Linked DNA regions of Drosophila melanogaster. The main gene of each other region encodes a partner of the protein of the gene in region 2 in a complex. Each region holds a gene or a part of one and is shown on either strand. Other genes may lie near its edges. A codon is read from its position in the direction of its gene.

What was found.
Region 1: the proteins of CG7044 (region 2) and IntS11 are in contact, whole or in part, in a cryo-EM structure (PDB 8UIC), measured with the Drosophila melanogaster proteins. Residues at the interface, in NP_650940.2 of Drosophila melanogaster: Thr26 (codon at 1,966), Asn27 (codon at 1,969), Asn28 (codon at 1,972), Val29 (codon at 1,975), Tyr30 (codon at 1,978), Glu32 (codon at 1,984), Lys33 (codon at 1,987), Thr36 (codon at 1,996), Pro116 (codon at 2,366), His156 (codon at 2,486), Thr157 (codon at 2,489), Leu158 (codon at 2,492), Tyr159 (codon at 2,495), Arg162 (codon at 2,504), His438 (codon at 3,332), Leu441 (codon at 3,341), Glu444 (codon at 3,350), Asn445 (codon at 3,353), Gln506 (codon at 3,536), His509 (codon at 3,545), Val513 (codon at 3,557), Arg551 (codon at 3,671), Val554 (codon at 3,744), Lys558 (codon at 3,756), Trp600 (codon at 3,882), Glu601 (codon at 3,885), Asp604 (codon at 3,894), Thr605 (codon at 3,897), Tyr648 (codon at 4,084), Ser652 (codon at 4,096); in NP_651721.1 of Drosophila melanogaster: Leu9 (codon at 2,036), Gln13 (codon at 2,048), Val15 (codon at 2,054), Gly16 (codon at 2,057), Met35 (codon at 2,114), His36 (codon at 2,117), Met37 (codon at 2,120), Tyr39 (codon at 2,126), Asp41 (codon at 2,132), Arg43 (codon at 2,138), Asp47 (codon at 2,150), Ser49 (codon at 2,156), Tyr50 (codon at 2,159), Pro53 (codon at 2,168), Pro56 (codon at 2,177), Ile57 (codon at 2,180), Ser59 (codon at 2,186), His68 (codon at 2,213), His70 (codon at 2,219), Asp72 (codon at 2,225), His73 (codon at 2,307), Thr87 (codon at 2,349), Gly88 (codon at 2,352), Pro89 (codon at 2,355), Lys97 (codon at 2,379), Pro101 (codon at 2,391), Glu105 (codon at 2,403), Arg108 (codon at 2,412), Lys109 (codon at 2,415), Val112 (codon at 2,424).

Annotation. Positions count from the first base shown.
Region 1 is NT_033777.3:29,743,459-29,748,268, forward strand, and holds IntS11 (integrator 11), read left to right. Parts: upstream 1-1,878; 5' UTR 1,879-2,011; coding exon 2,012-2,225; exon of another isoform or gene 2,226-2,304; coding exon 2,305-3,279; intron 3,280-3,334; coding exon 3,335-3,939; 3' UTR 3,940-4,055; downstream 4,056-4,810. Other genes in the region: Wdr24 (WD repeat domain 24), read right to left, coding at 1-132, 193-277, 331-663, 726-1,365, 1,424-1,541; ATPsyngamma (ATP synthase, gamma subunit), read right to left, coding at 4,396-4,810. UniProt on the Drosophila melanogaster protein: RNA endonuclease component of the integrator complex, a multiprotein complex that terminates RNA polymerase II (Pol II) transcription in the promoter-proximal region of genes.
Region 2 is NT_033777.3:21,097,456-21,103,462, reverse strand, and holds CG7044 (uncharacterized protein), read left to right. Parts: upstream 1-1,744; 5' UTR 1,745-1,890; coding exon 1,891-2,014; intron 2,015-2,084; coding exon 2,085-2,268; intron 2,269-2,328; coding exon 2,329-3,673; intron 3,674-3,737; coding exon 3,738-3,942; intron 3,943-4,000; coding exon 4,001-4,173; intron 4,174-4,240; coding exon 4,241-5,134; 3' UTR 5,135-5,234; downstream 5,235-6,007. Other genes in the region: Tbc1d22 (TBC1 domain family member 22), read right to left, coding at 1-41, 545-740, 802-1,186.

The DNA.
Region 1 (4,810 bases), 8.6 Mb from region 2:
AACCTCTGCATTGTGCTCGCATAACTCCGATAGTTTTTTCCCACTGATAACAAGTTCCCTGGCACAGCCAATAAAACTTTCGTGTTCTTGGGTGGGTCTTGAAACAGATTCGCTTAGGGGATAGCCGGAAAACTGAAATATATCAATTAGTATCAGATTTGGCAAAGAAATCCCTAATAGTGTCATACTAACCGTGTCGTTTACCATGAATTTGTACATTTTGGAATGGTCCAAATGGAACTGAATGCTGCCAGCCACATTCGTCTTACGGCGACTTCTAAAATACACATACATATAAACATACAAGTTGATACAACAAATACGACATACATGAAGCTAGAAGACTTGGTATTGGATGCACCGCTGGTCTTGGGTTCATACTCCTTGATCTTGTTGGCAAAGGAGATGTCCCCAAATCTGCCCAGGCTAGCTCCCTGGGCATTTGCCTTCAGCGCTGGCCTCGTGGCATCCTTAAAAGCATGTTTGTAAATGGTGGAGTCCTTGCTGATGGACAGAAGACAGTGCGAGTCGCTGCCCTGCCACGCAATTCCAGTAGTCACATTGGTGTGCTCGTTGAAGGAGGCAAAGGGGATGTAGGGTCTGCGGATGTCCCACACATGAACGCTGTAGTCCACCACAAGGGCACAACTAGCGATGTGATAACTGGAAAGGATTAAACAGATTTAATATAAATAAGACTGTTAAACCTGGCTAGAAAAACCTACGTTCTTTCTGGTCGCCACTTAACCCGTCCCACTACGGCGATTGTGTGAATGGTGTGCTCCAATCCCGGCCTGCCATCCATGTTCCACACCTTGATCTGCTTGTCCCGACTTCCGGTGGCCAGCCAATTCCTTGTGGGATGCCAGTCGCATGTGTAGACTGGCCCGTAGTGCGCCGTAAACTGCACCATGCACTTGTCCCACTTCCGCATGTCCCACAACTGGACAGTTCCATTCTCGGAGACGGCGGAGAATATGTTTTGTGTGTGTGGACTGAACTTGACATCCCGCACTGATTCCGAGTTGCAGAAGTAGGTGTTGATTGACTTATCCGATCGGATGTCGAAACACTTGATGGTGCCATCCTGAGAACCGGAGATCAGGATGTTGGGCTCGCTGCTGTGAAAGGTCACGGTATGAGCGGTGCGCTCATGTTCGTTGTAGACAAGCAGCTGCTTCTGCCTGCCGAACTTGGAGAGATCCCACACGGAAACCACTCCGTTCGTGGCCGCCGTAGCCAAAAGATTGCTATCCAAGGTGGACCAGGCCACATCGTTGGCGGAGTAGCTAAGATTCTGGTTCTTTCCGCGCATATTACACGATTCCGTGAAGCCATTGCTGTTTATGGAGTACACCTTAAGCACTGTTCGGAAGCAAATTATGTGTATTTATAGAAAGACCTTGGGCAATTCTAATCTTACAGCTTCTTCCGGCCAAAGCAATCTGGTTGTTGTCCTTATTCAGGGCCAGGGCGTTCGCGTGTCCTTCCAGGCATATCCGCAGCGAGATTGTGGAGGTGTCCTCCACGGAATCGGGCATCCTGCAGCAGTTGCAAGTTCGCCCGCAGAAAGCAAAACAGTGATTTGATAAGACAAGACGCTATCTTTTATTTTCCTTTCGGTTCAGTATGACCGTTTCTCGAGCGGCAAACCATTGGCGCGAGTGTTCCCAAATGCAGATGTTGAATATTGTTTGAACAAAAGACTTATTGTACTAAAGTTGTATTATTCACATATAATTAATGTATTCTATACATATACAGACAGAAACATTAATTTCAATTAAGCTATTAAATTCTTTGAAACTTCTTGGAACACTCCAATAAGATCTGCCAGTTGGAGCGCGTCGTTGCCGGACCATCCACACCGACGGAGTGGCAACGCCATTCGTGCGGCCTTGCTGTTTACAAAAATCACGGTCGACTTTTTCGACAATTTCATTTACCAGCGCAACAAGTGGCCGCAAGAAAGCAGGAGAGTGGAGCCGGGTGATCCTGATCCCTTCCAGAAATGCCGGACATCAAGATAACGCCCTTGGGCGCCGGCCAGGATGTGGGCCGCAGCTGTCTGCTGCTCTCGATGGGCGGGAAGAACATAATGCTCGACTGCGGGATGCATATGGGCTACAACGACGAGCGCCGCTTCCCGGACTTCTCCTACATAGTGCCGGAGGGTCCGATCACCAGCCACATTGACTGTGTGATCATCTCGCACTTCCACCTGGGTGAGTCTCGGCCTCCCAAAGGCGCTCTTATCTGGTCAACTGGCTCTAATCGTTTCTTTATCGATTGCATGCATTCCAGATCACTGCGGGGCCTTGCCCTACATGTCAGAGATTGTGGGCTACACGGGGCCCATCTACATGACGCATCCGACCAAGGCCATAGCACCCATCCTCCTGGAGGACATGCGGAAGGTGGCCGTAGAGCGGAAAGGCGAGTCGAACTTCTTTACCACCCAGATGATCAAGGACTGCATGAAGAAGGTGATTCCCGTCACACTTCACCAGAGTATGATGGTGGACACGGACCTTGAGATCAAAGCCTACTATGCAGGCCATGTCCTGGGCGCCGCCATGTTCTGGATCAAGGTGGGCTCCCAGAGCGTTGTCTACACGGGGGACTACAACATGACTCCAGACAGGCATCTGGGAGCCGCCTGGATAGACAAGTGCCGGCCGGACTTGCTGATCTCCGAGAGCACCTACGCCACTACCATTAGGGACTCGAAGCGGTGTCGCGAGAGGGACTTCCTCAAGAAAGTTCACGAGTGCGTGGCTAAGGGCGGCAAGGTTTTAATCCCTGTTTTTGCCCTGGGTCGCGCCCAGGAGCTGTGCATCCTGCTGGAGACGTACTGGGAGCGCATGAACCTCAAGTACCCCATATACTTTGCTCTGGGTCTTACCGAGAAGGCCAATACCTACTACAAAATGTTCATCACCTGGACGAACCAGAAGATCCGCAAGACCTTCGTTCACCGCAACATGTTCGACTTCAAGCACATCAAGCCCTTTGACAAGGCCTACATCGACAATCCTGGCGCGATGGTAGTGTTCGCCACGCCAGGCATGCTGCACGCAGGTCTTTCCCTGCAGATCTTCAAGAAGTGGGCGCCGAATGAGAACAACATGGTGATTATGCCCGGCTACTGTGTGCAGGGAACCGTGGGCAACAAGATTCTCGGTGGCGCCAAGAAGGTGGAGTTCGAGAACCGCCAGGTGGTCGAGGTCAAAATGGCCGTGGAGTACATGAGCTTCTCGGCCCATGCAGATGCCAAAGGTGGCTACAAGCTTAGCACTTTTATGCTGATACTAATTAATTTTCTGTATTGCAGGCATTATGCAGCTAATTCAGAACTGTGAGCCAAAGAACGTCATGCTCGTCCATGGTGAAGCAGGGAAGATGAAGTTCCTGCGCTCGAAGATCAAAGACGAATTCAACCTGGAAACCTACATGCCGGCCAACGGCGAAACCTGTGTGATTTCTACGCCTGTGAAGATACCAGTAGATGCGTCCGTTTCCCTGCTTAAAGCAGAGGCCCGGTCCTACAACGCCCAGCCACCGGATCCCAAGAGGCGGCGACTAATCCATGGCGTCCTCGTAATGAAGGACAATCGAATAATGCTGCAAAACCTAACCGATGCCCTGAAGGAAATCGGAATTAATCGACATGTTATGCGATTTACATCCAAGGTCAAAATGGACGACTCCGGACCGGTCATTCGCACAAGCGAAAGACTGAAGACTCTGCTCGAAGAAAAGCTAGCCGGCTGGACGGTGACGATGCAGGAGAACGGCTCCATAGCCATCGAATCCGTTGAGGTGAAGGTGGAGGAGGACGAGAAGGATCCCAAGCAGAAGAACATTTTGATATCGTGGACCAACCAGGACGAGGACATTGGAGCCTACATACTGAATGTGCTGCAGAATATGTGCTAGGCAACGAAGAAGCATCCCATTGAAATCCCACGCCTTAATTCCATAGATAAGCACAAAGTGTAGATACCACCAATTTCTGAAAGTTTAAAGAGTATCAAAATATACATAAACGTTCCAATAGTTTTTTGGTCATTAGTCATTGCCACTTGAAATTTGAGACTTTATGCACATTAAGTTATATCAATGGGTCTTTGCATAAGAATGCAATCGAATCCCATGATATCAATGTGTAAAAACCAAACAGACCTGTGCAAGTGCTTTCAAATTCCTTGCCTCCCACTCCAATTAGGTAAGGACTCCATGGTTAAAGTTATTTTCGTTCGTTCCACGCTATTTATTCTGGGGTTTTTCTGAAAGAGTAACATTACTAGGGCTCCAGGCGTAGCTCCAGGTGCCTGGCACCATATGCAATTAGCTGTATGAATCGTTAGAGCTGTTCGAACACATTCCATTCGCTTATGTGAGGGCGGCGGCACCGGAGATGATTTCAATCAGCTCGCGAGTGATGACCGCCTGTCGGGTACGGTTGAAGGTGAGGGTCAGCTTGTCGATCATCTCACCGGCGTTCTTGGAAGCGTTGTCCATGGCAGTCATACGGGAGGACTGCTCCGAGCAGGCGCCCTCCTTCATGGTGTAGAAGATGAGCGAGGCCAGCGAGAACTCCAGATAGCTCTTGACCACGTCGCTGTCGAGCGAGTCGTAGACGGCCAGCTTCTCCGACTTCTCCACGGTGGATCCGCTGAAGATGGGGAGGGTGGAGCACTGGTAGGACACCACCGACTTGAAACGGTTGTACACGATCTTGCCCTCGGTGTAATCGTAACCGGTCTGCAGAACCTCGTTGGCAATCTTCGAGGCGTCCAGGAAAGTG
Region 2 (6,007 bases):
TCTGCAATTGCGGTCTGCCCGGGTAGTTCCTCAATCTAGATCTGAAATGGCAATATATATTACTAACCGTTGAAGTCTTGATTACTTTCGGTCTTAGTTCCGCGTCTCCCGACATTGCTCTGTGGGAATAGCTGGGAGTGGCTATCAGTTAAGAAAGTGAAATGCTTCAGGAGCGGTTGCCAAGTTGGTGTTAATACTCGTTAAAACGTGGCGAATGGCAATAATAAGTTAGGAGCGCCCCAATGATTAACAACATATATAGGTAATTTTAACCTAATTACATAGTAATATTGTATATTGTATATTGTAAAGTACCGTTTCAAAATTTGAATCTATTGTAAGTATTTCAACTCCCATATGACGGAATTCTTCATATCTTTAGTTTCTACTTTGATAATAAACACGTTAATGCTTTTTAAATAGCACCTAGGAAATAATTCAGAAAGCGGGTTCGATCCGCTCTACACCCCTGACTTATTTGCACAACTGCAGGCATTGGGTTCAACTTTCTTTTTGACTTCCCAGTTGAGTTGGCGCCGCTCACCTGTTTTCATTACTGTCCGGCAGAGATCTACGGTCTTCCTTGCAGTCGTCCGTCGAGCTACTGCTGACTGGGACCAAATCTGCGCCACTTTCGTTTGCTGACCGGGATGCATTATGGTTCTGGTTGCTTCGAGAGTGCGTCTCGATCACGTTGAGAGCCACCGTCTGCGACACTTGCCGGGAGAAATGAGCCGCATCTGTTGGGGGATCAAAACGAGATCAGAGGTTGAGGAAAACCATCGGGGTTGCGGAACCCACCGCCAGCTCCAACGGCCGCGGCAGCCGCCTCCGTGCTGCTGATGATGCAGAACTCGTCGTCACCCATGTCCCAGGCATCGCTCACCGACTTCTGGTACTCGGTGAAGGTGGACACCATGCCAGATCCGGGGGCAGCGCCGCGACCGACCGCTACCCCAACTGCCGCCGCCTTCTCGAGCTCCCGCTTGGGACTGGGTCGTCCGGGCACTCGACGTCCGCTGTTTTTCCAAAAGGTCGAGGAGTTTGCGCCGGGCGTTGGTCCGGCTCCACTTGCCACGGTTACTACTGCTACACCTGCTCCTGCTGTTCCTGTTGCTGCTGCTGTGGACTCGGCTGTTTCAGTTTGGCTCTTTCCTGCTAATTGCTCTACATTGTTATCCATCATACGTTCCCTAGAGCCGATTCTATGTCAGCGTCATTATATTATTTTGCATCAAAAACAGTGTGACCATGGCAACTATTTACGGCTTTCACCGCACGACACTTCTTGGTAGTGATGAGAGCGTATCGTGATCAAGTGACTGGTGCGAAACCGAACCATATTGATACCCATTACTTGTGGAGAAGAGTGAACCTAGTATAGTTCCGACGAGTCGATCAAGAGATATAAATGATTAAAAATGAAAACTCGTAATTCAAGACATTTTTCTATGCAAAAGCTTTTAGAAATATGGAAAAAAGGTATGTAATTAAAAAATATTTAATAAAGACCGTAATCTTTGAGGTATAAACATAACGAAAATGTTTTGTACAGAGTTCTTCTTTCTGCAATATTAAGTAGTATAATTAGGTAATTTTAATTAATGGTAGTAATGGTATTACTTATTAGCAAAGAATAAAAGGGAAACTATGCACCGTTATATGTTTCGATGCGTGACTTTGACCGCTCACCTGGCAACCCTGGCGAATGCGCTTTGGATTTCGACTGCAAACGTACACGGCCACTCAATACAAAACAAGTGTCTTTCGGTGTGATAAGAACCAGAACCCGCAATCAACGATTTCATTATTCGGTGGATCAATTGCAAGCTCCAAAACTATGCCATAAGGGGCAGTCGCCATTTAAGCAGTCAGTGTGGAAACAGCAAGATGCAAAAGCAAGAAGAGACGCTGTCGCGCCTGCGAACGATATTCGACATATTTTTACGCGAGAACTTTTCCACTACGAACAATGTTTACTTTGAGAAGCTCCTCACGCACTTGCAGGCCAAGGGTGAGTTTACCAATCGGAGTGGCCCCGCAATCTGCCCTTAAATCCTCAAATGAATCCCATCTGTCCGCAGAGAATGCCTTTGTGCTGCAGGCCCCATTCGTGGTGGAATGGGTGGACAGGTGCATCACGGCGGTGACCGAGGACTTCAAAAAGATCCACCCGAAGGTGATATCCTTCATGCTGAATCTGACCAGTTTTCTGGCGAACAACGAGTGGATGATCGTGCGCCTAAGAGAGCTTGATATAGTAAACAGGTAAATGGTAGGATAGAAAACCAGGCTCTAATCTCTTAAAATAATCGACTACCATTTTAGAGCAGTGAAACTACTACAGAGGGAACACAACTTAAGCCCATCGATTAAGTTAGGTGGCATACGTCTGATGAAAGCCATCACCGTGTATAGCATGGGGCTGGCCTTTCTGCGGATGCACCGGATCTGGACGCTGCTCATCCAGTATTCCAACAACGATCACACGCTGTACGTGGTGCGGGAGGCCCGCCAAGTGCTTTACAACATGGTGTACAAGTCCTGCGACAAGCTGCACGATAAGGCTGTTACCCTGGAGATTCTGTCGGAGATTATGCAGCCGATTCACGACAATCTTTATAAGAACACCGACGGCGTGGAGCGCATCCACGTCAAGGTGGACGACAACGAGATGTTGCACAAGATCTCGTCGACACTGGATCTACTGTCCTACATACTACAGCAGACGCTGGTGCTCGAGGAGCGCACCACTCTGATCATCCTGCTCAAGGAGCATCACGACTTCGAGATTACCGTTTGGAAGCTGATCGATATGACCCACAACCCGTACTTTACTGAGAAGATCTTCACCACACTGAGCAGCTACAACTTTGCCCTGCTGTTGCACGAAAAGTTGCTGAATCCGAACGCCACCGAGCCGTCGGAGGAGTTCACCGAGTTCGGGTTGGCATTCTTTAATCTCATGAAATTCCTTATTACCCGCAAGGACGGCTTGAGTTTTGTGAAGTTGGCGGAGCTCAATCATGTACTTTGGAAAAAACTTGGACCTCGTGCGCCCAAGGAAATTGTCATCCAACAAGAGCGCGTTACGTTTGAAAACCAGCTAATCTGCTTTCACATGCTGCCGTTGCTCTTCTCCATGAAGTACGCACAGAAGATCGCCGACGAGGAGAGCAAGATAGAGCTCTTCGACGCCTATGTTGTCAAGTTGCTGGAGATCTCCTGCGAACAGACCTTGCGGCTCTGCTACACAATGCGGGACAACTTCTTTTCTGCAGACGGCATGGCTGTTGGCTTGGTGACGGCCGGCCTGGCAAACAAGTGCATACATAGCCTGTTGGCCCTGGAAAACGTTCTCGATCGAGAGCAGGCGGTTACTGTGTGCCAAGCTTTGCTATATGTGCTCCGCGAGGCAGTGGCCATGAGTGTCATCACAAATAATGGGGAGGATGACTGTCACAGCGTGAGCAGCGCGGGCAGCTCCTACCTAAAATTGTACCCCCGGGGCACCGAACAGGTCGTTAACGATCCACAAGTTTTGCATTCCGTAATGGTGGGTTTGCGCACCTTGATCGAACGCTTTAAGATCACGTGGAAGGAGTCGGTGGAGACCATTGGCCTGGTCAATTGTCTGGCATTTGTCCTGGAGAACACAAGCATGGATGCTAGGGTAAGCAAAACAAACTCTCATTTCTAGCGGGTTAAAATAGTAAAATGTGATTCTTCATTTGCAGTGCACTGTCCAAGCGCTGAAGCTCGTCCAACTCGCTGTGGAGCATTTCCTTTCACCGAACATGGCTCTTTTGGTGGACAACTTGCAGGGCTCCGCGCTGGTCTGTCTGGGTCCCATTATTGTGAAGCGAATGCACGACACAATGTGGGAGGTGCGTGACACAACGCTGGAGCTTACCACCTCTATAGCCAGTATCTCCCGCATCAGTAAGCGTGTGATTATCTTAACGTAGTGCCTAACATTAATGATACGTTGCTTCTACAGAGTTTCCCGCCTTCCAACGCTTTCTAATCGACTCAAAGATACCCCCGATAGTTTACGAAATGGCCAAGAATGACTCGGAAGTCTATGTAAGAGCGTCTGCCTTCCAGTGTCTTTCCCAAATGGTCTCCATAAACCTTTTGTGGGAGAATGGTCTAAGCCAGCTCGATCTTGTAGTGAGTTAATCTATTTACACATATACTCGGAAAAAATTATTAATTAAACACTTTGAATTCTCGACAGGACCATCTTTTGTTTGTAATGTATCGGGAGACCAACGATATCGTGAGATCCGAGGCCGTGATTACGCTGATGAAGATCTACGAGCACCGCAAGATCCACGAGAAGTACAAGAACACCCTCTTCTCAACCCTCAACTATTGTGTAATCGGGGATCATCACACGGAGGTGAAGCTGAATGCTTTAAATTTTTGGCGCCGCGAGTTCTACCGCCAGTTTAGCAATCAGGGCATGATAGATGGCTCTTTTCCCACAGTGACCTTCTCTAAGGAGCAGAAGAAGATTGTCACGCTGACGGAGAAAGAGATCCAAACCAGCATTGCCAAAGTTTTTGGTGAAGTACAGCAGTACGGATATTTTGGCATCCTACTCAAGTGCCTGCGCGAGGAGACTTCAATGGAGGTTTTGGAATTCCTCATTAAAGGCGTCAAGACCATGACGGAGAAGTTCGAGCGCTACAAGGGCATAATGGAGGAGATTGAAATGAGATCGCCGCTCTCAGACAGAGAGCGGCCAAGATTCGACTTCCCGTCCCAGCCGCAGCCAACTCCGATTCCACAGCAGCCACCGGTCAATCCCACCGAGGCGGACGAAGTCATCGAGTCCATATTGAACTCGCAGGATGCACAGCTCCTGGAGAAGGCGTTTGAGACCCAGATGCAGATAAACGCGCAAGGGAAAACAGCGGAGAAGCGGCACATCGATGAGTTCTACTATAAGCAGTTCGCGGTGCCATTGCGGCAGTTCTTTGAGGAGCTCAAGACCATTGACCTGGACCAGTTGGTTAAGCAGCACCAGGAGTGGTTCGAGTGCAAGGAGAACTTTACCTCCCTGCTGGATGACATCCTCGGTGCGCTGAAGCGCGACGATGAGAACATGATTTCGGACTGTTACTAATTCCGAGCTAAGCCGTTTTCCAGTCAAAAAAAACCTCTCTGTGAAGTAAGCTAAAAGTTTTTTCCGTGAAATAGATAATATTTTTGATAACTACGTTTTGAACATAAAATGAGATTTTATTTCGCCGGCGCAGATAAAATAAATAACAATACAGTAACAAAACAATGTTTTAAATGACTAAACATATTTCAAATCAAGACGACCCATATTTAAACGTTTTTGTTCCTTTTTTTAATTTTTGGTGTGCTGGTCACACTGTTCGCGTCGTGTTTGTTTTGGTTTTCTGTTGGTGGTGACACACTTTTAGAGCGATGTGAGCCGAGTTTTTATCGATGCATCCATAAGAGAAACTACTTTTTACTTCTTACAAAAATGTTGTATAAGGTAGATTTGCCAATTTTTAAAACGCAAAAACCCGAAATATAGTAAACTTCGATATTGATAACTTAGCCGATATTATCGTATGGTGTTGGGAATCGATAGTGCCGGCACCGAGCCTTCCCACTATCGACGAGCCCATCGACTGCAGCACATCTTCAGCGCATAGATGCAGCGAAAAGCGGATCGTCTCGCGTTCGAATTTGCACGCACTGCTGCATAAATATTAAAAAAGCACTGGGAACATGCAGTTGCACAAACGGAGAGCCAAGCAAAAATATGGCCAGTGCATTATGTCATAAATGTGAAAGTGTTACAAGTTGCACTGCAGCGGCAGCCAGAACAACAATAACAACAACAGCAGCAGTAGCAGCAATAGCAACATAAACTGCACGCATGTGAAAAGGAGTGCGAGTGTGTAGAAAAAATCAATTGAGAGGAAAATTGCATATTCGCTGTCGCGGCCGAAACGAAAATAAGTGAAAGAAAATAATA